Linked DNA regions of Tamandua tetradactyla. The protein of the gene in region 1 purifies or fractionates together with the protein of each later gene. This does not show direct contact. Links are inferred from orthologs where the notes say so. Each region holds a gene or a part of one and is shown in the gene's direction. Other genes may lie near its edges.

The links.
Region 2: the proteins of CUL4B (region 1) and UBXN7 purify together in Homo sapiens (affinity purification with mass spectrometry; 3 studies listed by BioGRID and IntAct, with this or other methods). This does not show direct contact. The link is inferred for Tamandua tetradactyla from reciprocal best matches to the Homo sapiens genes CUL4B and UBXN7.
Region 3: the proteins of CUL4B (region 1) and EZH2 purify together in Homo sapiens (affinity purification with mass spectrometry; 4 studies listed by BioGRID and IntAct, with this or other methods). This does not show direct contact. The link is inferred for Tamandua tetradactyla from reciprocal best matches to the Homo sapiens genes CUL4B and EZH2.
Region 4: the proteins of CUL4B (region 1) and COPS8 purify together in Homo sapiens (affinity purification with mass spectrometry; 7 studies listed by BioGRID and IntAct, counting the BioPlex papers as one, with this or other methods). This does not show direct contact. The link is inferred for Tamandua tetradactyla from reciprocal best matches to the Homo sapiens genes CUL4B and COPS8.

What each region holds. Positions count from the first base shown.
Region 1 is NC_135353.1:46,084,230-46,091,958, forward strand, and holds the start of CUL4B (cullin-4B), read left to right. Parts: upstream 1-4,715; 5' UTR 4,716-4,969; intron 4,970-5,596; 5' UTR 5,597-5,609; coding exon 5,610-5,670; intron 5,671-7,729.
Region 2 is NC_135336.1:17,370,485-17,377,951, forward strand, and holds the start of UBXN7 (UBX domain-containing protein 7), read left to right. Parts: upstream 1-4,453; 5' UTR 4,454-4,509; coding exon 4,510-4,582; intron 4,583-7,467. Other genes in the region: diphthamide biosynthesis protein 3, read left to right, coding at 1,318-1,566. UniProt on the Homo sapiens protein: Ubiquitin-binding adapter that links a subset of NEDD8-associated cullin ring ligases (CRLs) to the segregase VCP/p97, to regulate turnover of their ubiquitination substrates.
Region 3 is NC_135327.1:193,080,224-193,088,019, reverse strand, and holds the start of EZH2 (histone-lysine N-methyltransferase EZH2), read left to right. Parts: upstream 1-4,796; 5' UTR 4,797-4,797; coding exon 4,798-4,842; intron 4,843-7,796. UniProt on the Homo sapiens protein: Polycomb group (PcG) protein. Catalytic subunit of the PRC2/EED-EZH2 complex, which methylates 'Lys-9' (H3K9me) and 'Lys-27' (H3K27me) of histone H3, leading to transcriptional repression of the affected target gene.
Region 4 is NC_135329.1:214,107,785-214,115,551, forward strand, and holds the start of COPS8 (COP9 signalosome complex subunit 8), read left to right. Parts: upstream 1-4,766; 5' UTR 4,767-4,857; coding exon 4,858-4,935; intron 4,936-5,009; exon of another isoform or gene 5,010-5,192; intron 5,193-6,452; coding exon 6,453-6,523; intron 6,524-7,767. UniProt on the Homo sapiens protein: Component of the COP9 signalosome complex (CSN), a complex involved in various cellular and developmental processes.

The sequences.
Region 1 (7,729 bases):
TCCCACATGAATGCTCACCAGAGTGTGAGTTCATTCAGCAAAGGAAGACTTTAATAATCAAATGGATAAGATGATCCATTCTGTGGAAACCAATTGGCCTCTTTCCACAGCTACTGCTGTCATTGCCCAATGGGCTCATAGTATGGTGGTAGGGATGAGGTTATGGATGGGCTCAGCAACATGGATTTTCACTCACCAAGGCTGACCTGGCTATGGCCACTGCTGCATGTCCGATCTCTTAGCAGCAGAGACCAACACTCTGTCCTCAATTTGGCCCATTCCCAAGGTGATCTGCCTGATAGCAGGTTGATTACATTGGACCACTTCCATCATGGAAGAGGTAGCGTGTGGTACCTGGAATAGACACATACTCTGGATAGGCATTTGCCTTCCCTGCATACAATGCTTCTGGCAAAACTACCGTTCATGGACTTATAGAATGCCTTATCCTCCATCATGGTATTCTATACAGCATTGCTTCTGATAAAGGAACATATACACAGCAAATGAAGTGAAGAAATGGGCCCATGCTCATGGAGTTCACTGGTCTTACCATGTAACCCTTCATGTTAAGGCAGCTGGATTGATAGAATCATGGAATGGCCTTTTGAAGACTCATTTACAGCACCAGTTAGGAATACCAATGGCCCAGAAACTTCAGGAATAACACTTTGCTCATCCCACCAAGCAATGAGTCAGAACCAGCTGAGATGCTTCCCTCAGGGTAAGGGTTATTTGGAAATGGTAGTAGAAGAAGCTAGTGATAAATACAGACTATGACCACATGACCAGTTACAGAAATGAGGAATATCACAGTTATGAATATTTCTTCCTTGTCTTGTTATATTTCCACATGAACATAAAGTAAATATAATTGTTGTCTTCCCTATCTTATCCCCTTATCACACAACAAAAGTTGTATTAGTTTCATGTTGTTATATTTACATGAATATACCCAAGGGCTTCCACCATATTCTGGAGAGAGTTAGTGTGTTTCCAGTTGTATGCAGGACAAGTGAGCATTGTTAGGCAAAAATATGACTGATATTAATTGTTATTTAGTGATTAAGTCTGATTTATGTTGATCTGTATGGCTGCCGGTTCATGTGTCAACTTGGCCAGTTGATGGTGTCCAGTTGTTTGGTCAAGCAAGCACTGGCCTGTGAGGACATTTTGTGGACTTAAGTCATCAGTAAGTTGATTACATCTATGTCTGATTACATCTACAATCAACCAAAAAGAGTGCCTTCAGCAATGAGAGAAGTCTCATCCTATCAGTTGAAGGCTTTAAAAGAAGTGATGATTTCAGCAGTCAGGACGGAGAATTTCCATGTCTTTGGCAGCTGGCCAGCTTCTCTTGGGGAATTCATCAAAAACCTTCAACACAGTTCCCAGCTTGCAGCCTGACTTATGGAATTTGGACGTGCAAATTCCAACAATCACATGAAACAATTTCTATAAATATCTCATATTTTCAGGTTATCTTCTGTTGATTCTGTTTCTCTAGAGAACCCTGTCTAATACACCTACTATGCCTCTTGGATGTTTCAAAAGCACCTCAAATTCAACATTTCCAAAACCAAACTCTTTCTTCCTTCCCAACCCCCTAAAACTGAAGCAAAAACTTGATCCTCTCCCAGGATTCTCTATGTCAGTGAATATCACTATCATCTATCCACTTGTACAAGCCAGAAATCATGGAATCATCCTTACTACGTCCTCTCCCTCATGTCTATGTCCAACCCATCCTGAAACCCTATCAATTTTACCTACCAAAATCTCCTCAAACTTGCTTCTACTCTCTTGATCTCTGCCAGTCCCACCATCTCTAAGATATCTGCATTTACACCAGGAGTATAGTAATTGCCTTCTAATTGAGCTCCCTACTTTGACTTTTGCCACTAATCTGCTGCTTTTTACAATCAAAGTGGTCTTTTACAAAACCCAGATTTGCATATTTAATTTTTTCAATTGTTCTTATTGTTTTTAGGGTTGCAATGTGTACACAGGGCCCCTCAAGAGCAAATTAGAAAAAGGCATGATACTTGAAGCAGAAAAATTGCAAAAGAAAGAGTGTCCTCTTGGGTACGGTTAGTTAAAAAAAAAAGTCACCCCTTTGGACAGACCAGTTACAAAAGCTTGTCTTTCTCTTGCTTTAGGACACAAGGCTAGGTTAACTAGCTGGATTTCATTTCCCCACTCCTACCTGTTCAGTCAAACACGCTGGTGCAGGGCACATTCTGCAGAACCATACATAGTGAACAATAGGGTCTCTGTTGATGCCAATTACAATGCCCAGAGACAAGGCCTTGGTCCTATCGGGTCTTCTAAAAATTCCATGCACAGGGTTGAGAGGTCATGTTTAAACTCAGAGGCCTAAAGCAGGCTCTTATGACAGCAGCATTTCCTCCCCACCTTTCACTGCTCCAAGAGACAAGCCCCTTAATTCCCTAAGATCTGATGTTTATGTCATAGGAGCTCAGAAAAGGGAGGGCAGATTGAAAAGGATATGTGAATTTGACTGAAAATGTCAAAAATTTGGTACTACACGCCTATCAAAATGGCTAAAATGCAAAAATTGTGACTCAAACACCAAATACTAAATAGGGTGCAGAAAAATTGCATCAACTCATACACTGATGGTGGGACTATAAAAGTTTAAAAGTTTACAGATTTAAATAACATTCTTGAAACAACAAAATTATAAAAATGAAGAACAGAATGGAGTTACTAGGGGTTCAAGAGGGAGGGGAGAGAAGGAATGTGGGAGTGGCTATAATATGTATTTGTACAGAATTTATATTTGTGTTGATAGTAAAGTTTTAGAAATGGAGGGTGGTAATGGTAGCACAACATTAACAGCACTGAATTATATATATGAATGTGGTTAAAAGGGGAAATTTTAGGTCATATATATGTTACTAGAATAAAAATTAAAAGATAAAACATAGGACTGTACAACCCTACTGAAAACTATGGACTATAGTTAATAGTACAATTATAAAGATATTCTTTTATAAATTATGACAAATATGCCACACTAATGCAAGGTGTTACTGATAGGGTGGTATAAGAGGAAAAATACACCTAATATAAATGATGGACTATAATTAATAATACAGTTATAATATTCTTTCACCAGTTGTAACAAAGATACCAAACTAATGCAAAGTGTTAATAATGGGGGGTGTACATAGGGATGCTGTATTTTTACATGATTTTTCTGTAAACCTACAACTTCTCTAATTAAAAATATTAAATAATAAAATAACATATGCAGTACTGAAGTAGAAATGCATATATGATTCAGAGTTTTCTAGTGGCCAAAGCAACAAAGGAAACAATAAATTACAAGTAGTAAATTTTATATGAAATAAATATGATTGTATACAAAACAGTCTGGGAGAAGCTCCTCCATGGACCCTCATACCAAGCATTATAGTGGGCAATGCTCTTCATGAAAAAAATACTGTATGCCTATTTTTATAGGATCTATTATTGTAAGCAGAGAGAACATACCTCCAAAGCAAACTTTATGGAAAGCAAATACTATATAAAATTAAACAACATAAGCAAAAATAAAAAGGGACATTAATTAAGAAGGATCCTTGCATTGATGGAACTGTCCTGTATCTTAATAGTAGCAATGCCAATATCCTGATTGTGATATTGTACTACAGTTTTGCAAGATGTCACCATTGTGGGAAACTGGCTAGACGGTACAAGACAGCTCCTTGTATTATTTCTTACAACTGCGTCTGGATCTACAATTATCGCAAAATAAGAAGGATAAGTAAATTTTTAAATTTAAATAAAAATTAAAAGTTGCAAGTCAATAAAAGCCCATTCATAAAACTCTATTAACTTGAAGTCATAAAGTCACAATGAAAAATTGAATTTGCCTCTTTACAAATGGATCAGGGGCATCTATAACCTTGTTAATCGCAAAGTGTTGTTATTTTTTGTCTACTGAGATATTTACAAAAAGATGGCTAGCACCTTGATTGATTTTTATGAGTGTCATTGCTCTTGATATGATTATTTGTATATCACACTTCTATGCTGGGATAAATACATTTTTAAAAAATGTTAATGCCTCCTAAGTGAGATTGCAACTTAAATTTGGAGCAAACTATCTCTTTGTTCTGGAGAAAAACGAGTTCTCTACATGCCATTTCATAATGTAAATTCAACAGACATCATCAGATCCAACCCAGTTGAATGAAGCAACGACTGTAAATATTTTGGACTAGAATTTGTGGTCAGATGATAAACTATGTCTCTGAAGACTTTGTTGATCTTTGGGGAGAAATGGTTATCATTTTCCCCATACCTGTTTAGACAGATCCATGCCTGTATATCACTGTTTGTCGAATGAAGTTAAGTATGTTATTGTTCCGGCAATTGGTAGCATAAGACGAGGCGATGAGACAGAGAGGACTGCAGAAAACATAGTGTGAAAAGGAACTAGGCTAGTCTTGGCACAAGAACAACCCTGGCTTGCCTGCAGATGTCTCATAGGCGGTATTATCAAAGATAGAATAAACCAGACCTTAGAAATGTACCCATACCAGATCGTTTTGAGGTTTTGGTTTTTTGTATTTGGCACCAACAGGTGCCTGTTAGACAAGTGGGGTTACCCCTGAAATAATTGGTCAGATCTACTGTCAATCATCTTAGAAAACAATTAAGTGAACCGGAAATCGAGCCTCTGTGGGCGGAGCTTAGGTCGAAGGGCGACCTCAAGTTGTAAGGGTACTTGTTTGTGAACGGTCCTGGCTGATCCGTCAGGTTTTTAGAGATCGGACTTTTCATAGATCAACAATAAAGATGCCCTGTTGGTCCTCATGTGATGGTGAGCTAAGCACCCCTTTGAGATTGTGAAAGGCGGTTAGAGTACCGTTTAAGAACCAACTGAAAGTGGGTCTGGACTTGGGCCTACCGACTCTAAATGAAGCCATATCTTGAGGTATTTAAGTTATTCCCTATGTTGTATTTTCTTATGTTATTCCCAAATGTATAGTAGAAATACATTAAAAGATATAGTCTTTCTTCATCTGTGATGTGGAGAATTTAGGAAAAAGCCCAGTATAATCATTGTCATTAGTGGAGAAAGCACTATCCGGCAAAGTGGTGATAACAAGAGGTCCCTCAAGAACAGGGACAAAAGCGCTGAAGCCTGAGGAGGAAGAAAATTAGCGATCTGGTTCTGATCATATGTGGAGAACCCTTAGAAATAGTTTTGAGGGAAGTCTAATTTTTGGCATTCAAGCGGGGGTGGTGTGGAGGTCGGGGCTCAAGTCATTGTAGTTTGGGGATTTAAAAGGAAACGTTTGACTTTCAATTTGAGATGTCAGTCTGAACAAACGTGTTTTCCTCTTAAAATTATATTTAAATGAAAGAAAAAAATATAAGAATAGAGCCATAACTACAAGTGGTAACAGAGAAGGGTGATTAGCAGACTAAAATGTTGAGGATCATCTTGAAGATATGAAACCAATAGGATAAAACTGGTTGAGAAACCATAGTCAGTGAACTCATAACACCATATGGGAGAAGACTGCTTTAAAAGTGAATTCTCTGTTTTTTAATACAGCCCAAAAGACAGGATGTCACAGACATCTGGATCAGGGAATACGCGTGATGATGGGGAGATCCCAGAAGACAATGGTGAGTAAATCAACTAAGTAAAACCTAGAGTTAAGTCTAAATAATTGTTAACAGTATGTCCAGGAATCTTGAAGAAATTATTAAGAAATTATTCCTATGAAGATCAAGGCATAAAACAATAAGAATTTAATAACAAGGTGGAAATAAATTCCCCCAGACAGAGTAGGGATTACGGGATGGTGGTCAAGAAGGGCACTTCTGCTTTTGCTTTATAGTTGTTGTTTTACAGTGAGAATGAATTCATATACTATTTTGGCAAAACTTTTAAAGTTTCATAATACTTAGTTTGATGATATTGATAATAGTATAAAATTTTGCTAATATTAGTGTTATAATATAAAAGTTTGATAATATTAGTGGTGCTAAAGATGCGGGACAGTCAACAGTCATTCTGAAGTTGACCCGATTCCATTTCTTCAAAAAAATCCTTGGTAATACTTTCACACATGCACAAAGATATATGTTATAGCATGTTTATTGCAGCATGCTGGTAGTAGCAAAAAGGGAAATAACCAAATGTCCAAAAATAGGAGACTAGTTAAATGACATGTTGTATTTATTTACTATGAATTAGTATGCAAATTGTAAAAAAGAATGAGGTAAATTTCTAGGTACCGTCATGTAAAGATCTCCAATATACATTAAGTGAAAAAGGCAAATTGTAGATATATATGTATGGTATGATATCATTTATGCTTAAAAATACCAAAGCTAAAAAATAAAAAGAGACAGAGGTTTCCAGGGGTCTGGGACTCTAGCCTAGTACCTCTCTCCCTTCCTTCTTCTACTTGATGAAAACCTGATAGAGAAGCAGAGAAATGCTGTATCTGGGTTACAGATGAGTCTGTATAAGTCCTCTTTCTAGGTACCCTCCTGTGTGCTCTAGAGATTTTTTTTTTCCTCCACAGGAAAGCTAATTTAAATCTTTTTGTATTCTTTTATTTCATTACCATTTGTAAGCTGTAGATTACATTTGGGTAAATTTACTTAAAGTTTTAAATTCTTGTTATAGAGCAGGAAGCAAAATTAAAAGTCACCACTAAACATTCTCCATATTCCTGTTTTTATCACTCCATATATTATGGTGCAAGTATCAGCAATTTTTTTCTGTAATAAATTAGATAGGAAATATTTTATGCTTTGTGGGCCATATGGTCTCTGTCACAACTACTGAACTCTGTTGTTTTAAGAAAAAAGCAGCTTAGGAAATATGTAAATGAATGGGCATAGCTATGTTCTAATAACCCTTCATTTACAAAAACAGGCAATGGGTCAGATTTGGTAAACAGGTTTGCCAGCTTCTGCTCTAAAACTGGTAATAGTTTGCCAGCCACTGCTCTGTTTTATCTTGTTAGCTTGTGTCTTACTTCCCATGCTTTAGCCCCACAGCTCTTATATCCAAAGATGAGTCCAACTTGTAGATCCATTTCCTGAATCAGTCTGGCTCAAGATAAGAACTATTATTCAGAAGCCACAGCTCCAACAGTAGGCCTAGGAATTGCTATGCCAGACTTGAGACTGCGATGCTTCCTTGACATCTCTGTTTAGCTCTCTAGTTTCTGATTAGGAATGTAGCCAAGCACGGATAACTTGTCTCCTTGTAAATGCCTGCTTATTCTCTCACCTCAGGACTTTAACAGGCTGTCTTCCCTCCTTGTGCCCCCAGCTCCCTCCCTTGTCTGCCTAATTGCCACTCCTCCTTGGGATTTAGATTGAATTACTTTCTCTGGAAGTTATTCTTAACTCCCCACCCTCACATTTCCTCCACTCCATTCCACCTTCCTAGGATTCCCAGGTTTCCCTCCTCTTTGTTCTCATAGCAGTGGTTGTCAGCTCCATCCTGCATTTGTCTGCCTCACCTACTAGGCCAATTGAGAACTGTTTTCGGGCAAGGGTTGTCTTTGTATATTCAGTGATAGGATCATAAGGGTTCTCCAGCAAGATCTGCTCAGTGTTTGTCTGGCTGTGACCAGAAGAAGGAGCTGGTTTGTACCTCCTGTGAAGATGAGCCATTGACTGAGGGTCCAGCCCTGGAATGGACTGATTTCCTAGAACCAAA
Region 2 (7,467 bases), on another chromosome or scaffold:
AATGCATAAGAATAACCTCCAGGATAACCTCTCAACTCTGTTTGGAATCTCTCAGCCATTGACACTTTTTTGTCTCATTTCACTCTTCTCCCTTTTGGTTGAGAAGGTTTTCTCAATCCCCTGATGCTGAGTCTCAGCTCATTCTAGAGGTTTTCTCAATCCCTTGATGCTGAGTCTCAGCTCATTCCAGGATTTCTGTCCCACATTGCCAGGAAGATCCACACCCTTGGAAGTCATGTCCCATGTAGATAGGGGGAGGGTGGTGAGTTTGCTTGTTGTGTTGGCTGGAGAGAGAGGCCACATCTGAGCAACAAAAAAGGCTCTCTTGGGGGTGACTCTTAGGCCTAAATTTTAAGTAGACTTGACCTATCCTTTGTGGGGTTAAATTTCATATGAACAAACCCCAAGACTGGGGGCTCAGCCTATAGCTTTGGTTGTCTGCACTGCTTATGAGACTATCAAGAATTCAACTTGGGGGAATTGAATTTCTCCCCATTTTCCCCATTCCCCGAAGGGGACTTTGCAAATACTTTTCCACTCACTGATCGAAGAACTCTGGGATTCATCCAGGCATCACTCTGGACAAACCAACAAAATCTCATGTCTTACCTGAGATTCCAAGTACTTATGCTGTTCAATCAAACTATCTACATAAGTTATATTAGGAATTGCACTAGTCAAAATACAAATTTTGAACCAAATAAACATTTTTTTTGCTTTAGTCTCACACATAAGGTGACATTTTAAAATATTAATTACCATCTATTTTCAGCACCCTGCAATAATGACATTCCTTTATTCTTCCTCATGCAAAAACATTTTTAAAATTTGTACATTTAGGCACTATTATTATACACTCTAGGCATTCCTAGATTATACCATCTCAATCTTTAACATCTATCTTTCTTTCTGATTTTATTTATGTCCCCAGCCCTCCTCCCTCTACACTCAGATGAGTAAAACATATAGATTAAAAATAAACAATAGGGGGACCAAATGGTAAAATTAAAAAATATATATTGGATAGATGGAAATACTAGTGATCAGTGAGAAGGAGGGGAAAGGGGTATGGTATGTATAAGTTTCTTCTTTTTTCTTTTTATTTCTTTTTCTGCAGCGATGCAAACATTCTAAGAAATGATTACAGTGATGAATATACAACTATGTGATGATATTGTGAGCCACTGATTGTACACCATGTATAGAATGTTTGTATGTTAAGAATGTATGTGCTGCCGGCCGGCGCCACCGAGGTTAAACCCACGGAGGTGGTGTCGGGCGGCGGGGGCGATAGCCCTCTTGCTGACCTCAGTGGCAATGGCCGTGTTTCACGACGAGGTGGAGATCGAGGACTTCCAGTATGACGAAGACTTGGAGACGTATTTCTACCCCTGCCCATGTGGGGATAACTTCGCCATCACCAAGGAAGATTTGGAGAATGGGGAAGACGTGGCAACGTGCCCTAGCTGCTCTCTCATTATAAAAGTGATTTATGACAAAGATCAGTTTATGTGTGGAGAAACAATCCCAGCACCTTCTACCAACAAAGAATTAGTTAAGTGCTAAAGAAGGCTATAAGAATTCAAATCTCGAACTACCGAGAATGAACTAAGATGGAAAAATCAAATGCAAGGTTACAGACCTCTTCACAAGGACAACCTTTTTTTGTGGTTTGTTGTTCTGTTAGATTGTGGATTCTTTCATCAACTGCTACGTTCACCTTCAATTAAAGAAGCAACCCACAGCATGACATACCTGGATTTCAGGTATAAAACTTTGAATTGCAAGTGTTCTTAAGTTTCCATCCAAATTTTTAAAAAGGTGTTGATATTATGTTAACTCCTGCTGATGTTGAATTTCAAACAAGAACAGACACCCTTGAAGTAGGTCTATTATGAGCTCAGAATAATGGGAAGAAAAGTTGCCAGAGTTGAAACACCCCAGGAAAAAAGAAGCGTAAACGACACTAGGCAATCAGTGATGGGTGGTGAACTGCAATAGTCCGAAAGATTTTGTTTCCACAGAACTAAATCACCAAATATATTTGTGAACTACAAAAGGACCATCAGAATTCAATCTAATGTTAAACAAAGTAAAACCAGGGTCTTTTTATGTATGACTAGAGTTCCATGTGATATATGTGCCTTATTTAGCCCAACAGATATTTTTGGAACCTTCCTAAGAAGCAATTTGTAGGCTAGGCTCTGCTTCTTACTAGCTTTTGTAATCTTTGACAATACCAGTGGATTCCTATCTGTATAATTAGTTGATAGGATCAAATGATTACTGAATTGTCAATTCTATAATGTCAGATTTGGTAGCCTGCAGGTACTGAAATGGCATCTGAAATCTTTATAAATTCAAACTATCTAAATCATGATTTATAGCTAAAGAGACTACTTTTCAAAAATTTCATGTTACCGCACTTGGATTGGAAAATTATGAAGGACAGCTGTTTAAATGGTTCTACAAAAGACTTTAGTATACACCTCCAGTGTACACCTCCTTGGAAAGCACCCAACATTTTTTGATAACTGTACATACTAATTTATTACCATGATAAACTATTGGTATGCTAAATAAAGTCAGATAAATCAAAAAAAAAAAGAATGTATGTGCTTGTATGTTGCTGTTATTAATAAAAATTAAAAAAAAAAAAGAAGTATGTCCTTTATTCTTTTAGGGTAGGTCTGTTTTTCAGTAATCTCAGTTGTTTGATATTTTCTTCATTTTATCTTTACCCCTAAATGATAATTTATCTGTGCATAAAATCTTAGTTTCACACTTTTGTTCCTCAGCATTTTAAGGCTAACAGTCCATTGTTTTTGCTGTTCTGGTCCAAATTTTGTATCAGACTAATTGCTATTATTTCATAAGAAATTTTCTATTTTATACTTGCTTCTCCCAGTTGCCCTGGGGTTCTATCAGCTCTGGAGAATTTTATATTAACTTTTTCCTTTGGTTGGTTCCTGTACTCTGCAAATTGTAAAACTGAACCTTAAATCCCGAGTGCAGGTCCACAGTTAGGAATTCTGAGGGATTTATTATTTATCTATTCCTTTATTTATTTACATCTACATCCCACCTCAAGGAGCTCAGGGGCTGAGAGAAAAGTTTCATTGTTCCTTCCCAGGACAGGTGTATTTTTCGTATTCTGCGCTTTTACATTTTTACTGAGCAAGTAGTTCTTCAAAGGTCTCAGTTTTAAAAAGGGTGGGGAGAAGGTGTTCCCATTTAGGCCACTTAGTGAAGAAGGTCCAAGGCCTTGTCTCTTGACTTTTAGTGGCTTTTAAAGGCACTTAACCAGACCTACAACCTCCTCTCTTGGCTCCTCAGTCCTGACATCATCTCAAACTCATTGCTGGGTGATTTAGTTTCCTGTTCATTTTTTGGCCCCTGCAGATTTCTCTTATTTTTCTGAGAGTTCAGCTACAAACTTAAAAGAATGCTTGCAATGAGTTGGCAGCATTTCCAGGTGTTTTATTCTCAGGTTTGTGCCTGCTACCATGCCTCACATCCTTTCTTTGCACAGGTCACAATATTTTCGATTAGGATTTGCTTTCTTTTACACCAATCATATCCTTCTGAAACTACAACCCTATACTAACCTTGATTTAACTCGGTTATTTCTCAACTCTCCCCAGTCGCACATTAACAGACTATTTCTTAGGTTGGGTCAAATCTGCAGATGACCTAAACTGAGGCTCTTTAACTTTATTTTCAAGGAGAGAAAATCATCAGCTTTGAGCGCGTCCCAATCATAGAACTGTATTTAAGAATACTTAAAATTATAAAAGTAGCAAATATTCTTTGTTTAAAAATAGCAAACCCTCATTTTAAAAGTAAGGAAACTAACTGGAATCCCGAGGAGGGAAATATGTGGACATATTTATTGAAAGAAAGCAGGTTGAAAAATTGTTTATTAAAACCCCGCTATAAATCCCCTCTATTACCCATGCTTTCTTGGCTTGAAAGGGTTCTGGCATTTTCTTTCTGCTGTATGGGATTGCTGCACCAGTTGACTAAGCAATTTAAAATTCAGAGGTTGGGTAATCGGAAAGAAAGTTGCTACAATGCCGATAATGACATTTGGCTTTTGATGGGACCTGCAAAATAAGAAAAAATACACGGCCATCGGCAGCTGGATCTATCAATAAAGCTTGTGAACTTGAAACGCGAGGAACCTGCTACCTGCCGAGACCGAGGCTGCCTCTGGAAACCAGGAACCAATACCGCATCTACAAGGTTGGTCTTGGAGCTTGGAGAAGGGGGAGCCATAGGTTGTAAAGAAGGATTCGGCGAGCAGGCAGCAACGGAACAGCCAACCCGGAGGGCAGGGAGAACGCTCCGGGACAGGCCGCGAGGTGCGCCTGCGCACACCGCGCAGCGGACTGGGGGGGCGGAGCATGGGGGCAGTCAATGAGCCTGCGCAAACGGCGCGGCGAAGTGGGGGAGGGCGGCCCGTGTGTGTCTGTGTTGTTGTTCGGCGGCAGCGGCGGCGGCGGTAAGATGGCTGCCCACGGGGGCTCCGCGGCGTCCTCGGCGCTGAAGGGGTTAATTCAGCAGTTCACGGCCATCACCGGTAAGAGACGCGGTTACCGGAAGGTTGAGAGTGGGGTCCGGAGTGGGCGTCGCGTCTGCCCCGTGCTTTCCCCTACCTTCCTGCATTCCTCCCTTGGGTTTTACTCACAGCTACTGTCCTCCCTCTTGAGGAAGAGGCGACGTCGGTGGGGTCTCCGGGTTAGGCGGGAGACAGACGTCCCCTTTTACCCCCCTTCTCGTTCCCTGTACCCTTGTTCTCGGTTTCCTTGCAGTGTGGAGGGAGACCTCTAACCTATTGCCAGCCCAGTCCAGGCGAATGGGCCGAACTCATCCGCCCCCGCCGGCCCGGGGACCTGGGGGCGGGAGGAGTGGGGGGCCGCACCCGGGCCACCGCCCTCCTCCTCCTTCATCATCTCTTGTCTGTGCAGGCTTCGGATAGAGTGTATCACCTCACCTCCTTTCTCCTTTCTTCCCGGGCCGGGTCATTCGCTCCCGCGTCCCTGGCCTGCCCTTCCCCTTTCTGGGCCCCTCCGAGCCATCGCCATGGCCTTGGTGTGTTCGGGCCCTCCCGCCTTAACGGCGATGCTGGTGGGTTCGGCAGCGCCTTTCCAGATCCCCGGGGATAGGCCGCCAGAAAGAGGGCTGCTGAGGAGTAACCTTAGGGCCTGGGGTTTTAAGAGAAGAGTGAGGGGGGAATCCCCCTCTCTCCAAACTGGATTCTGGAGGCCTGGACGGATACTGGGAGGCGTTTCCCACCTCCCCATAATAAAATCATAAAGACCCGAGTAGATGGCGCCGGGGCCTCCTGCTGCTAAAATAGGGATGGCGGCGGAAACTTCTCGGAGAGGGAACCTGTTTCTGGGTGTCAGTATCCCCAAACCCAAGGCCCAGGATTTCCTGTTTTTTTGGACCCCTGTGAAGGGCACACGAGATCTTCTTTCAGCCTGGAGAAAAGGCCCTGTGCCATTCTGTGAATTCCCTGTGTCTTGTTTCTCTCTGATGGTGCTGAACTTTTTTTGCATGAGTTATTAGAGGGCGGAGCAAATGATGAAGTTCTCTGTGGAGTGATTTGAGAGAAGAGTAGTCCATGTGCCTGAGTGTGGTTTTGCCGTTCTCGTTTGTTATTTTAGAAGGAGGTTAGAATATTAGTTCTTTCCTTTAGTAGTTACATATTTAATCTGGTCATTTGTTAGATGCAGAGAATATTTAACGTCCTCAGAGTTTATCATGCAATATCTGGTTAGATAAAATTTTGTCTTAACCATTACAGATTGTGTGGAAGTTACCGTTTTATAATTAAAACTAGTTTTATTTTTTACTCTGTGGTTAAAACTAGATGTTCGATGCATTATCTAGCTTGTGGGCGTGAAACACCACGTCAGAGTTGGTAAAGTAAAATTTGTAATGGCGTTGAGGTGGGGAATGGGATAATATTTTTCATAATTTTTTTAAAATCTTTTGCTATATATTAAAATGTTATGCATTTCCCAGTATCTAAATCTTTGTTATGGGGAATCTTTGAAAAGTATTGTGTATGTAAGTTAACATTGCTGCATATGTTTATATAGAAAAATCCTTGTAGAGAATCAGATATAGAAGTGAATATCCATTATTAATCTTTCCTTTAGAATGCCTAGTGATTTAATTTAAAGTCCCACTTATTTAATTTCAGTTTATGTTAACCCCTTCAGAAATTCAGATTGCCTTAACCTCACGTTGTCTTCTAATTCAACATTTTTGTTAGAGTTAGAAATCAAAGTGTGCCAAATGGATTTGACTGAGTTTAGCTTTTCTGTTTCTGTCAGTCTTCATTGCTTGTTTCTTGGTCATAGGCCTTTCTATTCTTAAATCAAATTGGCATCCCTCAGTAGACAGTGGTTATATGGAAATCTACAAAAGGGAAAATATCTTAGATTGTTCTTAATGTGTTGTGAATTTCTATTAATAATTTTGGGGATTCTTTTTATAAGATAATGATTAACCATTAGAAACACAGGATTGAACCTATTCAGCCTTTTTTCCACATATTTTACAAATACATTTTGGTGTTATCTCTCCTGGTATATATTTGAAATTGTTGTGCTTATGATATAAAGGTATTTTTTTCATTGCTGTATGAATCAGACTGATCTTAAGCACTTATGCTCTGATTTCAGAAAGATTTTTTTATATTTGGAAGCTCATTAATTTGATAAAAGCACTGCATCTTCAAAAATGCTATCAATCTACCAATATGGCATTTAGAAATAGAAGAGAAAATTTTAAGATTTCTTGTAAAGTCTTATTTCTTACTAAATAGAACAAATTTCTATAATACTTGAGTTTGAAATAATGAATCTGATTTAAGAAAATTATTAAAAAGATATCATGACACATGAAATAATTTTGAAAAAAGGGGGCAAAAACTAAACCTCCACTGTCACAACAGCAGTATTATTTATTTTACATTATGTTCCAATTCTTTTTCATATACTTATGTCTACATTCTGGATCCTGTTGTACATAATTTAGAACTCTGAATTTTTTCAGTTAGTATTACATCATAAAACATTTTTTCCATGATTAGTCTTTAATAGAGTAGTTAACAAAACGTTGTTCTCTGAATCACATTGAAAAGCTGTCTACCTCTACCATTGATGCCTTCAGAGTCATTTAAACCTACGTAAGATCAGTCCTGTTACTTTATAGTCATTTATTTTATGATATTATTCCACTTGATATCTCTTGATATTCATAATACATGACTTTGAATGACTTCTTTCAGAAGTCATGTCAGTTCTCAAAGCATGAAGAAAGAATGTGCTGCTGGATCTGAAGGTAATTCCAAAGCAGCAGTTTTAAAAATATTTTTTAACCATGACAGTATCCCATTAACACAAACTTGGGCTGACACCCAACCATATATACAAAATGCACAAATGTGGG
Region 3 (7,796 bases), on another chromosome or scaffold:
TTAATGTCTGGCCTGGTCATGTAGGCAGATAAGTGACTTGCTCACAAAATACTGGAGAGGATGGGGTCCAGACACTGGGTCCTTACACTTATGGATGCTACCCCCCTCCCCCCCCAGTTTACCCATGACAAGGACAGACACAGACCTTCCACATACCCATTCTTTGCTTCATGTACTGGTTTGAAACTATTATGTACCCCAGAAAAGCCATGTTTTAATCCTGATACAATTTTGTGGGATCAGCCATTTCTTTAAATCCTGATTCAATACTGTAGGCAGAAAGGTTTTTTTTAGATTATCTCCAGGGAGATGTGACATGCCCACTTGTGGGTGTGATCTTTTGATTAGATGGAGGTGTGACTCCACCCATTCAAGGTGGTTCTTGATTGGTTTACTGTAGTCCTTTAAAGGGGAAAACATTTTGAAGAAGTCTCAGATGCAGGCGCAGACACAGACACTTGGAAATGCAGATGCAGACTCTTGGAGAACAGTTGTTTCAGAGCTGACAGAGACACGGATGCCTAGGCACTGGTAGATCCCAGGAGACGTTGCCATGTGCCTTCCCATGAGATGCTAAGCAAGGCAGAATACAGAGTTGTGTCATGGAGGAACTGAGTGAAGTCCAACAGATGCTTAGAGAAAAAACACTGTCATCAGAAGTGGAAGCAACAGAACCAGGAATAAGGACCAGCAGATGCCAGCTATCTGCCTTTCCAGCTGACTAAGTGTTGCAAACAACATCAGCCTCTCCTGAGTGAAAGTAAACTCTTGTTGATGCTTTAATTTGGACATTTTCATGGCCTTAGAACTGTGAACTTGTAACTTAATGAATTCCCTTTATAAAAGCTATTCCATTTCTGGTATACTGTATTCTGGCAGCATTAACAATCTAAAATACCTCATAAATGGCTAGCTGAATTGCTTATCTCCACTGATCTATCAGATCAAAATGATCAATCAGAACAAAGTTTACTAAGCAAACCTGGGTTAAACTTCTCTTCTTCCTCCAGATACCTGAACTCTAAAGGAACCTCCCAGAAAATAGGCTGATTCAAAGCATAAAATATTCTCTAATCTATTATCTGACCACGTCATCCTTTCATCCCACTACCCTACACCTGGTTTCTTTCCTCTGTATAATAGAAAGACTCATTTTGCCTAATTCTTGATGGTCAGAGAGGTCTCCCCCTTACTACAGGCCCTTCTCTCTATTGCAATAACCCCATTCATACTTTGCAATGATCCTTTTGAATAAAATCTTCCCTTACCAAACCTGGATTTGTTTTTTATTTGACTACAGAGATGAAATTTTACTACAATGAATATTAAGCATGCAACATTTATTGTTGTCTTGAGTTTGTTATTGTATGAAATACAACTATAAAACAAAGTGATTAATTTTAAACCAATGTGGTCAGAATAGCTTTATAGTAAAATGCATGGACCCTGAAACCAGACTGCCTGCTAGTCTACTTGCTAGTGGCGCACCCTTGGGCAAGTCCTGTCTCTGTTTCCTCATCTATAAAACCTAGGCATAGATTATCATCAGTAACAAGTGTCATACATTTGCTAAATAGTAAATAAACACAGCACAACACATTCATTAGATACTCTGGGCATTGAATATCCAAAGTAAGTATTATTCTTTTTGGAAGAACTATTCCAATGATGTAGCTATTGGTCAAAATATATGTGAAACTGTAATCAAAATGTTAAGAATTAATAAATGATTATGATTACTGGATCATTATATAGAGAACCGTATTTTCTTTTGTAGACTAACCTAACGTTAATACCTGACATTACTGAAACTCAAACTAGTCCCACTCTTATTTATAGCTACTACTGTAATGGTTATTCTAGCCTGGTCTGAACCCTATTTATATTTGATATCATAATGGTAATAATTCCATCTCCCCTTGTTTGAATCCATAAAAATCCTGAACTCCTTAGATTGGGAGAGAGAGATTTTGGGGTTGATAGGCCATTTGATCTCCTGCTTCTCCCTTACTAATATGCTTTTTCTCCCTTTGAAACCCTGGTGTCATGGATTAGCTGTTATGCACACCAAGCAGAGAAACTGTCTTTTGTTGGTATCAAAACCAGTACCACACTAATGCCAAATGTTAACAATAGGGAAAACTGTGTGGTGTGTGGTGGTGGTGGTGGGGCCGAGGGAGTTGTATGGAAACTCTATCCTTGCTGCATAAAGTTCTAGTAAACCTACAGCTGCTTTAATAAAAAAAATCTTTAAAATATATTTGAAACCAAATAAAATTGCCTTCAGAAGCTGTACATGTTCTTCCATAATATTACCCATGGCAGCAAATCTTCCTTTTTTGAAGATAGATTTGCTTTTTAAAATAGCCTGATGTCCTTCAAAGCCAAAGATGGTGAGTATAATGCGAGCAAGCTGGGAAGTACATTCTTGGGAAAAACGGGTGTGATTAAAGTAACGATGGCCCATTTTCTCTGAAGCACACTTCCAAAAGAGAAGCCTTGCAAATACGCTTAAGCAATGGCAGCGCCTTTGGATCAAATGCATATATCAGTTATCTATTGCTGCATAACAAAATAACCCAACAGGGAGCGATTAAAGACAACAAACATTTAATTTCTCAGTAGTGACTGTGAGTCAGGAATCCAGGGCGGCTTATCCAGGTCCTCAGGCTCAGGGTCTCTCACAAGGCTGAGATGAACGTATTGGCTGGGGCTGCAGCCATCTCAAGATTCAACTGGGGAAAAATCTGCTTCTAACTCTATGTGGCAGTTGCTGGGCCTAGGGCCTCACTGGGTGTGGCCTCTCCATACTGCTGTCTTCAGTGGCAGCTTCCTCAGAGGAAGGGATGAGAAAGAAAGAAAGAGAGACTCAAAGAGACAGAGACAGAGAACTCAAGGCAGAATTTACAGTCTTTTTTTTTTTTTTTTAAAACTAACCTTGGTGATAATATCCCATTACTTTAGTCTTATTCAATTTCTTAGAGATGAGTCAAAAAATTCAGGTCACCCCCAAGGAGAGGGGATTACACAAGGGGGTAAATAGCGATAGGCAGGGATCATTGCATAATCCCCTCAAGTGGCAAGGCTGAATGATAACACTCATTTCCAGATTTCTCTTTTTCTCTTTATATATGTCTAAATATGTGTGTGTGATTGTTTAAAAATTCGTCATCTTTTTATAAGAATGTTACAGTTTTTTTCTGTGATACAGATATCTTTGTGAAAAACTTATTTGACACAAAGAACATAGGATCTTAATCATCGTCACTCTTGTGCCTGAGTAATGGATTGAAATTACCTAGGTAAAAAGTTTAGTTCTAGTCCATTTCTTTTACGGTGGACTTCACCTCTGATAGAATTATTTATTTACTTTTTTGTAATTTGAAACATTTAAGTGACTATCATTGAACAAGATCCTGGTATTCTGACATTTCTAGCATTTTGTTTCTTAATGTCTTTTAATTCAGGAGTTAATTTATGTATTAACTTTACTAAAGACAAATGACACAAACTACCTGTTTTCAGTGAGCTCCCACCAGCCTGCAAATGCAAGCTATACAACTTCTCCAGCTAAGAATAATGCTTGTTAACAAACAACACCATTTTCATCTATCAAGATTTAATGAAAGTAGAGCCTTTCTTCCAAATTTTTTCAAGACTCTTTGTTTTTCTTAAATGGAGCAAACTTATAACAGAGGGTGCATATTTCTCAACAAAAGAGTCAAGTTTATTTGCTAATATGAAAGCCTTGTGTTGAAACCTCATGATTTGAGTCTAAATGTAAAGTCTAACTACCGTGGTGACTAAACCAAAGAGATGACCACTGCTTGACAACTAAAGACAGAAAATGGTGGATTAATACTGGAATCAGTAAGTCTTACCACAGAGCTTAAACTGATGTACATGGTTTTAAATTGACCCTGATCTGTGAACCTATGTATTTTATATGTGAAACTATATAAAAAACCAAATTTATGGAAAACACGTTCATCCACACCTACTGAATGACTGAATTATAGAACATAATTAATGACTGAATTAATAGAACAAACTTGCTGTATCTTTTTTTTTAACCTATAAATATTTCTTTAAATGCCTTCCTCTGAAATCCCACTCCCTTGTTAAACACTTAGCAATTTGGTATACATCTTCCAGATCTTTTCTATGTAACACGCAGATTCATGAGCACGCTATACGCATATTTGAAAGGGACCTTCTTCAACTTGTTTTTCCCTCTTTTCTCCTAAATGAGAAGTGCATTCCTGTATAATATCAAATTAACCATTATAAGAGTAAAAATCTTTTATCTTCTCAGAACGCTGAAGGTTCATTTGAAGTATAGGCAACTTCAAAAATACTCTCCTATTCAAACTGTCACATGAAGATTACTTTCACATACATCTCAATTATCTTCGTACAAATCCTACCAACTGCTGCTGTTAGCTCTATGGCAAAAAACGACAGTTAGTCAAGCGTGGTTGTGGGGGGAGACAATGCTAAACAGATTAACAATAACCCACAACCCTCGGACCAACCGATACAAACTGTTAATCTCTGCCTATTTATAGTTCCTTTTTGAACTCTTTTCTAAGTAAGGACACTTTTCATGACCTATTTCACAATCTTGACAGGAAAAATACGTAATAGTTTCCGACTAAATTCAGTGAAAATAAAACAAAATTACTCTTTTTAAAATAGTTTTGCAAGAATTTTATCAGCTAGCAACCTTTTTTGCATTTCCCTTTTACAAGTGCATTATGGGTAACACCTAGCTAAATCTGAAAGTAAACTAGGCGTATGGCTCCCAGCAATGAAGGCTGGAGAAGTTGCTCGCTAGTCTTGGTAAGTACAGCCCAGCTGGAGCTGGGAACCCACGCCCTGCCCTCGTAGAGGCGGAACCGCCGAGTGAATAACCGAAGGAATCTAGCCACTCTTTTGCCTCTGCGCTGCCATGTGGGACCTGCGCCTGCTTGTTTGGCGGGTTTTCCCCCTCACATTCATAGAAGTTTCAGAACCGCGTAGCCACGTCTGGTCTTCGCAGACGCGGATCCGGCGGAATCCGGAGTTCCTGGGAGGCAGAGCGCTGGCCTCCTTTTCCGTCTCTAGGGACTTGTATTTCCCACCAGCCTGCTCCATTTAATCCCTAAAAGTCCCCGTCCCCGGAAATCGCGGTCGTCTACTGTTCAGGTTCCAAATTGGTTAAGGATGAAGAGTAAGTCAATGGGGGTCATACAGGTGACCCCAGCAGGACTTCCTTCTTTTCCTCCAGTAATTGCAAATACCACCCAGGAAACGCCGTGTTTGTTAAAAAGAGAACTTCAGCAGTTTAAATGCCTCATAAATTAGTCATCGTTTCTCAATCCACCACGGCGGCCGAGGTATTTCTTATCAAGAACTGATTAGGAAATGCAAACCATGGGTGAGCCTTCGAAGCTTTAAATGAAGATTTTAATGAAAGCTTAAGGAAAAACTGAGAGGAGACTGTCCGCACTTGAGTATTTTGCACAAATTTTTTTGCCAACCAAACCCTTGTTTTTCTTAATTAAAGGAGAGGGTTTTGGCCAAGGATGTTGGTCAGAACCCGGGTGTTTCATTTGCCAGAAATACTTTCAATATGTAAGCCTTTCAGTATATCAGAATCTTTGGCCTTTTAAAGAAATTCTCTTGGGAAAGTTTGATAGATTTCCTGCAGTTATTCAGAGTAAAGCCTGTTCGTTAGGGCTTTCCAATGACTGACTGTTTTACCTTCCTGTAAAGACAAATCAGAGAATTGTACAGAAAAAGGCCTAAGGTTACTTTCTTATTTATTGTGATCAATGAAAAAAATTGGAAATTATAGAAATATTGGGACTGGGATTGGGAATTCCTGAAAAATGAAGGAACCCTCAGATAGTTAAGATACTAAACATTGTCGTAGAAAAAACTGGTGGCACAAAAAGTTTAGATTTTTAAAATACATGCAATCTAGGAAAGGCAGTAGATTTAGAGATATGCTGTCAAAGCTGTATTTTAAAGGCGAATAATTGTTGTAGTGACATCTTTAGAAATTTGGAGATTTTTTGTCAATTGAGGTGAAAATTTATATACCAGTAATCATAGTTTGTATAATAATTTGCAAATTTCCTTGTATTATCTCACTTATATTACACTAGTGATGTCTATATCTTTGGAAATTGATAGAACAGGTTATCTTTTTCTCCCTCCTATAATATTTATTTGATTCAAAGGAAATAAAATGAGATGTAGAGCAAGTATTTATAAATGGTGGGGTGAGAGGTTAGCTCTACATCTTAATAGAAATAGTTTTAGTTCTAGATCTACAAGGACTCAAGTTGCTTGCCCTCTTTTATGTTCTTGGAGATTTACCTCCATGCCAACCATTGTGCTAAGAGCTTTACTAGCTCTGTCTCATTTAGTCCTTAGAGCCTACTCCATTAGGTAGGTTAAATCAGTGAAATGAAATAACTTCCTCCAGGGCCACAATCTGTAAAAGGTGGAGCAGGAGCCCTCTCTGAGCCTGGGTCTCTCCAGGGCTAATGTGCTCCTTCTAAGCCCCTGACTCTTTCTCTCCATCAAAGATATTACTGCAGGGGTGAAAGGTGCCTAATCTAATGCCTAGCACCTACCAAGCACATTAAATAAAGGGTCATTTGAATTAATTAATAATCATTGAGTATGATTCTTCAGGGATTTAATTTTAATAACTTTGATCAACATTGTATCTATGTCCTCTTTTTTCCCTTCCCATTATCCAAAACATTTATAAATTCCTAGATTCATGCTAATGATCCCTTCTTTTCTGTTTTTTTTTAATTGAATGCAGTTTTATTGAGATATATTCACACACCATACAGTCCTTTTCTTTTTAAGCTATCTAACTGAATACAGTGAGCTATGTTTATATGGCTACAGGAGGAAACACTGTGTCCTCCAGGTGGGTCCCATCCTGAAATGATGAGACCGGGCAGACAAGTCACTGGACAGTGCCGTTGGGAAAGGAGCATCCTGTCTTGGCCCTGCACTGCCTGTTCTGAATCTGACACTGTCGCAACAATGGAATGGTGGCTGCGGTTTGAATCCAGCGTGGAATATTCAACCAGGGAATATGAGAGCCAAGTAGAGTAGGAGTCTTTGGCCCTTGCAGGTGACAGGGAAGTGAAGCGGCTTTGCTTGCTTTCCTGGCCGCCCTCACATCTGCTTGGGATCAGTGTCTCCACACCAGGATACCCAGACATTTTGGAAAAGATTTATTGCTTTTTCTGATTATAGGAGCAAATACATGATTGTTAGATAAAATTTGAAAATGTGGAAAAATATGAAGAGGAAAATTAAAAATGACCTAATTGGTCTACTACCCAAGTAGTTATTTCTTCCAATCCCTTTCTCTATGCGTTTTTTTTTTCAGTTGGGATCATGCCTAATACATTTTTTTTTTTTAACCATGCTACTTTTGCTTAACTTACTTATGAAGTCTAAGCATTTCCCCGTACCATTAAATTCTCTTCATGAGCATCCTTTTTAGAAACTGGGTAACAGTCCATCCTGTAGACAGCTCATAATTTACTCACTCATACCCCTAACGGTGGACACGTCAGTTATTTGCATTTTTTCACTGTATTATATAATGCCAGCATGAACATCCTGAGTTCATGCATCTTTCAATACCAGTTATTTTCTTGGTATAAATTTTTGGGAGTGAAATCACCAGATGTCAGAATATAATGATTCTTTAGGTTCTAGTTACACTTGCTGAGGGCTTTTCAGAAAGGCCGCGTGGTCTGGCACTCTTGAGACGT
Region 4 (7,767 bases), on another chromosome or scaffold:
TCTTATGGTTTTGATTTGTATTTCCCTAATAACTAATTATGTTGAACACGTTTTCATGTGCTTGTTGGCAATGTGTATATTTTATTTGTTAAAATGTCTATGCAAGTGATTTGCCCATTTTTTAAACTGGGTTATTTGTTTTGTTATTATCGTTGTTGTAATCTGTTGCACATATCTGGATACCAGACCCTCATCAGCTATAGTGTGCAAATATTTTCTCCCATTCCATGATTTGTCTTTTCACTTTCTCCATAATGTCCTCTGATTTTAAAAAAAAAAAGCTTTTAATTTTAATGAAGTCAAATTTATCTTTTGTTGCTGGTGCTTTTGGTGTCAGATTCTGAGTTCATGAAAATTCACCCCCATGTATTCTTTATTAAATGTTTTAGCTCTTATGTTTAGGACTTTATGAGGCAAGGATCCAATTTCATTCTTTTGATGTCGCTATTCAGTTGTCTTACTACTATTTGTTGAAAAGACTACTATTTTCCCACTGAATGGTCTTGGAACACCTGTTGAAAATCAATTGACCAATTGACCATGTGCACATAGATTTATTTCTGGACAACCAGTTCTATTCCTTTGGTCTATCTTTATGCCAGATCCCCACTTTTTTGATTACCATTGCTTTGCAGTATGTTTTGAAATTGGGAAGTTATGCGTCCTCCTGCTTTGTTCTTATTTTTCAATATTATTTGGCTATTCTGAGTCCCTTAAAACTCCGTATGAATTTTTAAATTAGCTGGCCAATTTCTACAAAGAAGTGGCTGCGATTCTGATAGGGAGTACATTGGACCCATAGATCAATTGGGGAAGTATTGCCATCTTAAGAATATTAAGTTTTCCAATCAATAAATGGGAGATGTTTCCCCATTCATTAAGAGTGCCCTAAGTTTCTGTTAACAATGCTTTTTAGTTTTCAGAGTATAAAATTTTCACTTCTTCTATGAACTTTATTCCTATGCATCTTATTCTTTTTATGCTATTTATAATTAGAATTGTTTTCTTAATTTCATTTTTGGATATTTAATCACTATCATATATACATACAATTGATGTTTGAATATTATCTTGTATTCTGCAACTTTCCTTAACTCATTTAGTTGTTTCAGTATTTTTAATGGAGTAATTGGGAATTTCTATGTAGAAGATCATGTCATCTGCAAATAAAAATATTTTTACTTCTTACTTCCCAGTTGCGTATCTTTTATTTATTTTCCTTTCTTGCCAGTACAATATTAAATAGAAGTGTAGAAAGTGGAAATTTCTTGTTCCTGATCTTAGAAGGAAAGCATTTAGTCTTTCACCAGTAAGTGTGATATGGTTGTGTTGTTTTCACTGATGTCTTTATCTGGCTGAGGAAGGTCCCATCGGTTCCTAGTTTACTGCGAGCTTTTATCATGAAAGTGTGTTGTATTTTGGCAGATATCTTTTCATGTTTTTTGATATTAACTTTTGTATTTTATTCTATTTATATGGTACATATATTCATTGCTTTGTGGATTTTAAACCCACTTTGTATTCCTGGGATAAATCCCACTTGATTATGGTGAATAAACCCTTTTATATAGTGCTGGATTCAGTTTGCTAGTTATTTGTGGAGAAGATTTGCATCTCTACTCATAAAGTTTTATTTTCTTGTGATGACTTTGTCTGGTTTTGGTATTACGGTATTACGTGCCTCATAGAATAAGTTGGGAAGTGCTCCCTCCTTTTCTATGTTTTGCAAGAATTTTTTAAGAATTAGTATTAATTCTTCTAATATTTCATAGAATTCATAACAAAAGTCATCTGGGCCTGGTCTCTTTCTTGTGGCTAATTTTTAAAATTACTATTTCAACTCTTTTACTTCTTTACTTGTAATAGATGTATTCAGATTTTCTCCTTCTTGTTGAATAAGTTTAAATAGTATCATTCTAAGAATTTGTTCATCTTAGTTATTTAATTTTTGGTATATCATTGTATACGGTATTCACTTATAACCTGTTTTATTTCTGTAAGCTCAGGAGTGATGCCCCCTCCCTTATTCCTGATCTTGGCAATTTGAGTATTCTCTCTCTTTTTTTTTTCTTGGTCAGTCTGGCGTAAGGTTTGCCAATTTTGATGATTATTTGAAAGATACAACTTTTGGGTCTTGTTTCTTTAAGGGTTTTTGTTTGCTTTTCTTTTCCCAATGACTTAAAATGGAAGATAAAGTTACTGATTTAAGATTATTCTTCTTTTTGAATGTAGATGCTTACAGCTACAAATTTCCCTCTCCATACTGACTTAGCTGCATCCCATAGGTTTTTATGTATCATGCCTTCACTTGAATTCATCTGAAAGTATTTTCTAATTTTCCTGTGATTTCTTTGACATATTATTTAGTAGTAATTAGTGTTGTTTGATTTCCACATATATGTGACTTTCCAAAATTTATTTGTTATTGATTTCCAATTTCACTCCATTTTTATTAGAGAATATACTTTGTAAGATTTAAATCACTTTAAATTCGTTGAGACTTATTTTACAGTCTAGTATATAGTCTAATCTGGAGAATGGTCCACGTGCAGTTGAGAAGAATTCGAGTCCTGTTGTTGTCGGATGGAGTGTTCTATAGATAAATGTTAGGTCTAATTTGTTTATAGTTTTGTGCACATCTCCTATTTCCTTCTACCTAGTTGATATAGCCATTATGGAAAGTGGCAACATTGAAGCCTTGAACTACTATTGTTGAATTGTTTATTCCTCCCTTCTATTTTGCCAGTTTTTGCTGCATGTATTTCAGAGTTCTGTCATTAGGTGCACGTATGTTTTTAATTGTTATATCCTTCTGTTGGATTGGCCCTTTTATAATTTACAAAATCCCTCTTTATTTCTATTAACATTTTTTATTAATATTATTAGCCACTCCAGTTTCTTATGGTTGCCATTCGTGCATCTTACTTTTGATCTATTTATATTGTTTTATCTAAAGTGTGTCTCCTGTAGAAAGTATATAGTTAGCTATTGTTTCTTTATCCAGTCTGAAAATTTCTGTCTTTTGACTAGATTGTTCAATCTATGCTCATTTAAAACTATTACTGATATAGTTGGATTTGCACCTGACATTTTTTCTGTATTCATGTCTTCTTTTTCCCTCGATTCTTCTTTCACTGCTTTCTTTTCCTTTAAGTGACTATTTTCTAGTGTAACACCTTAATTCCTTTTATGATTTTTGCGTTGCTTTTGATCCATTTTCTTAGTGTCTGTCCCAGCATTTACCAAATTCATCTTAATTTGTTAGAATCTACTTCAGATTTATACTGCGTTAGTTCCAATGAAACACAGAAACTTTATCCCTATGTGGCTTTATTCCCTCTGCTTGGGTTTGCCAGTGCTGCTACGACACCACAAAATGTGTCGGCTCAACAACAGGGATTTATTGGCTCCTAGTTTGGAAGACAGAAATCTAACATGATGGTATCGGCAGGACTTGCTTCTTCCCACAGCTTGTAGCATTCGGGCAATCCCCTGCCACATGGCGATGTCTCTCTTTCTGTCTCTTGCTCTTGAGTCTGCCTCTCTGACTTTCACTGATTTTTGGTTCTACACCCATGTCCAGTAACCTTTACTTACTAGGATTTCAGCTATATTAATTCAAGCCTGCCATCACTCAGTTTGGGTATACCCTAACTCATCATAACGTCTTCAGCGGTCCTATTACAAACGGGCTCATGCCCCAAAGCACGGGTTATGTCGCGAACTTGTCTTTCGTGGGGCACCTGATTCTATCCCCAACACTCGTCTCCCTCTTCATGCTAGTATTGGTATACATACCACACAAACATTTCCACATGAAGACATTCAGTGTGCAAAAACAATCTATGACACCTGTCACCTAAAATGTTTGAATAATTCTATCTTTGAACCTGTGTTTTGTAAATTGGGTCCAACGGGACAATATGCAAATAAATGCATACATGAAATAGTATTTGCTAACAGGTACTATGCAGAAAAGGAGGCCAGCGTCGAGAGCAAGTCAAAAGGGGGCTGTCATCCTTGTAAGCAGCGGCAAGTACTTTGGATTTTAGGGTTTCGAACCGAGGAGTAACAAGATATGGTAAACGTTTTTGAAAAATCACTCAGGTTGTTTAACAAGGAATAGACTGGAGAGGCAGGAGCGAGGCCGGCCTATTGCAGCGGCCCAGGCAGAGAAGCTTCCGATTCTGGACGGATCCTCAAGACAGCGCAGCCAGGACTTGCCGAGGGCGTGGAAGGGGGGCGTGCGGGACGGGGAATGCTGCGGAAAACGCAGGTTTGGGGGAAAGTTACAAACACTGGATTTTGAACCCTTGCGTTCGCGACGCCTATTGGGCCCCCGGGCGGCGACCTCAAGCAGGCGGCAGCACGTCCGGGGCCGGCGCTGGACCACCTCCCGGGCACCGACGCGCGCGGGGCCTTGCGCAGAGGGACAGCGCGGGCTCGTCCACACCCGCGCGGCCGCGCAGGCGTCACCGCCTTCGGTCTACGCGTGAAGATTCAAAAGAAGCGCCTCACTGTGCCTCCAGAGCAACCTCCGATGCGGGTTTAGTGTCGGCGTTATCTGTCTTCCTCCGCACAGGGCCGCTTCCCAGCAGTCCGCGCGCGCGGACAGAGCTGCCCCGCTGGCCGGTTCGGCGGCGGACTCCGCGCGGGGCCAGGCAGGTCCTCCAGACCACCGAGACGGCCGGCCAGAGCGGCGGCAACCCTTCGCGGCCGGGGCGACGTCTGACGAAACTGCGACGCGCCTGCTGCGGACGGCGCCGGCGTCCTTGGACGTCATCGCGGGCGCGACGCCCCTCGGGACAGTCTGGGGTCTGGGTTTCGGAAGGGGTGGCGGTGGCACCGGTGGGGAAGATGCCAGTGGCGGTGATGGCGGAAGGGGGCTTCAGTTTCAAGAAGTTGCTGGATCAGTGCGAGAATCAGGAGCTCGAGGTAGCGATTCGCGTCGGACTGGGGGAAGCCGTGGAGTCGCCCCGGGCCGGGAGCGGCGCTGGTCTCCAGGGTAACAGGGCCTGCGGCGGGCTGGGCGCCGGAGCTGGGCGTGTGGAGCCCGGGCCCCCGAGCCACCCGAGTTCCTTTCCAAGGGTAGCGCGGCGTGGACGCTAGGTCCCTGTCCCACCCTCTCCCTGCCGACCGCTCTCAGAAACTCTCTCCACCTGTCAGGGCCTTGGCCCTCCGCCGTCCGGCAGGTGGCTTTTTTGTTTTAGGCTTGTAAACTGACATTTTCCCCGACGCCACTTTGCTTGCTTGCCCATCCTCAGTGAAACAACGAGCATTAAATTTGACTGGTGGGGTGTACTTTGAATATTTTCGGTTTGCGTCCAAATTAGCTAAGTTAAATACGGTTTGGGCCTACATCAATTTATTTGTACACAGATAAAATGTTTTAGTTGTCTCTGTTGTCAGTTGTTGTTTGTTTTTCCCGGTCTGTAATGTGCACCCATTTGTGAATCCATTAGGAGCTGTACTTTTAGAAATGCGTTCCATGTGATTTTGTGCTTTCCAAAGTGTGGGTTAGTGTTTCTTAATTAACTCTTTTTTGTTGTTGTTGTTTTTACCTATTTGTCTTCAGCTGTTAGCTCTAATAACGAATGCATCTTTGCTCCTACCATCCACCAGTATGCTTCTCATTCTGTTTAGACTAGATAGTTTTTTTTTCTTTCCTTCTTCGTGTCTAGAGGGAGGGGGAATGAGGATTTTATTTAAGACAGTTGTGCAGGCGCGCGTGCACGCACACACTTACACATACACAAACCAGGAAAGATGTGACCACTGCAGCCTTTTCTTAACTCAGAAAGTCCTTCTTAATCTCATAATATCAAGTAGGTCTGTAGTTTTGTATGTAAGAAGACAGATGTAAGTTATATTGTGCAGCTATTAAAGCTTATTTTTTAAAGATTTTCTTAGAAGCGTGCTTAAAACATTTAAAAATTGGTATAAAAAGATGATTAAAGAAGACATTAATCAGAGGTAGCATCTCACTACTAGTAGGCAATTAACAGCTGTTTTCTGGATTAATTAAAATTGAATGGGGAGAAAAGTCTTTGTAACTCAGTTGCAATGTTTTTCTGTCCCTTGCTGTTTACTTAGCTATTCAGTGTATTTGATATCATGGGCAGAACCGTAATGCTTTAGGACTCTATTGAAAATGTTTGTTTTTTATAATAGTAAGATTCCTTAAATGAGTATTTGAGAATTGGGAAAGCAGCACTATTTAGTAACTGTATGTGTAAAGTATAAAGTAACTGAGGCCCGGGGAAGATAAATCATAGTTGATGGCAGATCTAAACTTAATATTCAGGTTTTCAACTTTTCTAAGGTGATTTTACATACATGATAGTAAGTGCTATAATAAAATCAGCTTACTTTTTATATTAATGTTAATAAAGTATTATTCTATAAGTGTATAAAAATAAATAAAAATTTTCTGTTTCACTTTTGGTCTTTAGGCTCCTGGAGGTATTGCTACACCCCCAGTGTACGGTCAGCTTCTAGCTCTCTATTTGCTCCATAATGACATGTAAGTACTTTTTACCTAAAGCTAAGAGCAGCAGTTTCCTCAGAGTTATACAGAAATTGTTCTTGCGTTGAAGTAGCACCACTAAGTCAGACCTCATGTACCTTTTTCATATTGAATGGTAACTTAATGAATTATGATTAGACTGAGTTATTTTTAATTAGTTTTTTTACATATACCCTCTAAAAACATTTCAGTTTGACAGTAAATTTTGTTACACATTTACTTCAATTGACCTTTTTTTTTTTGCCTTTGTTTTCTTATTTCTAACTTTCTTATGACCTCTGTTGACTTCACATGTAATCAGTAATCCTAGAGAAGGTGTAAGGAGAGATTGTTTGAGAAAGCTAAGAGTAGTGAATGAATGAAGAATGAGGTTTCTTAAAAGTCCTTTGTTTTTAATTATTCCTAATGTTCATTAGAAAAAAGTCAGAAAGCACAACTGTACAGGAGGATAGGAGTCTCTTACAGTTTTACAACCCATAGATGATTACTGATGACATTTGCTTTAAATTCCTCCAAACCTTTTTCTTTTCCTATCTTTTTACATACTAAATTGAAATGTGTATTGCACATGTATTATGCAATTTTTTTCCCAGTTCTTGGTTTGCCACAGCTTTAGTTCCTGGCACTTTAGGGTGTTTAGCTGTAAATCTCTTACCAAGAGCCACTTCCACTAGTTTTCCCAGCTGGCTTTGCTGTTCTGGGTCCTCATTCCACTGCCCGGACCCTCTTAATGTCACTCACTGACATCCCTCTCTAACCCCGGGCCCAGGTTTAATCAGACTGGACAGCTTTGCAGAGTAAATTATCTGTTTCACATTTTATAATTCTGTCCTCTTGTGTTGTTCAAGTTTACAAACCCTTAAAAACCCTGCCTTTAATTCCTCTGGTAGGAGGGATTATAGCAAGGAGAAAAGCATTGTATAACATAAGTTTGGTTATTTTTATGCCTGAATTAATTTGGGCAATTCTTGTTTTAGTCTTTGTGTTTTTAGTGTACCGTAGCCATAAGTTAGTACCTGGATCATTAATAAAAATTCACTAAAAATGGTAAAATGTTAACTTTTGATGAAAGTATTTTTTGTCTCCTTATGTGGAGACGTGTATATAAAATAAATTCCACTCTGTATAATACAGAGTGTTTTAAGTATACTTCTGTGTTTTCATATCGAAACAAAATTTAAACATTTATTAAGATGACTGTTTTTGTAATTGATTATTCTTTTTATGGGGGGGTGTAAATT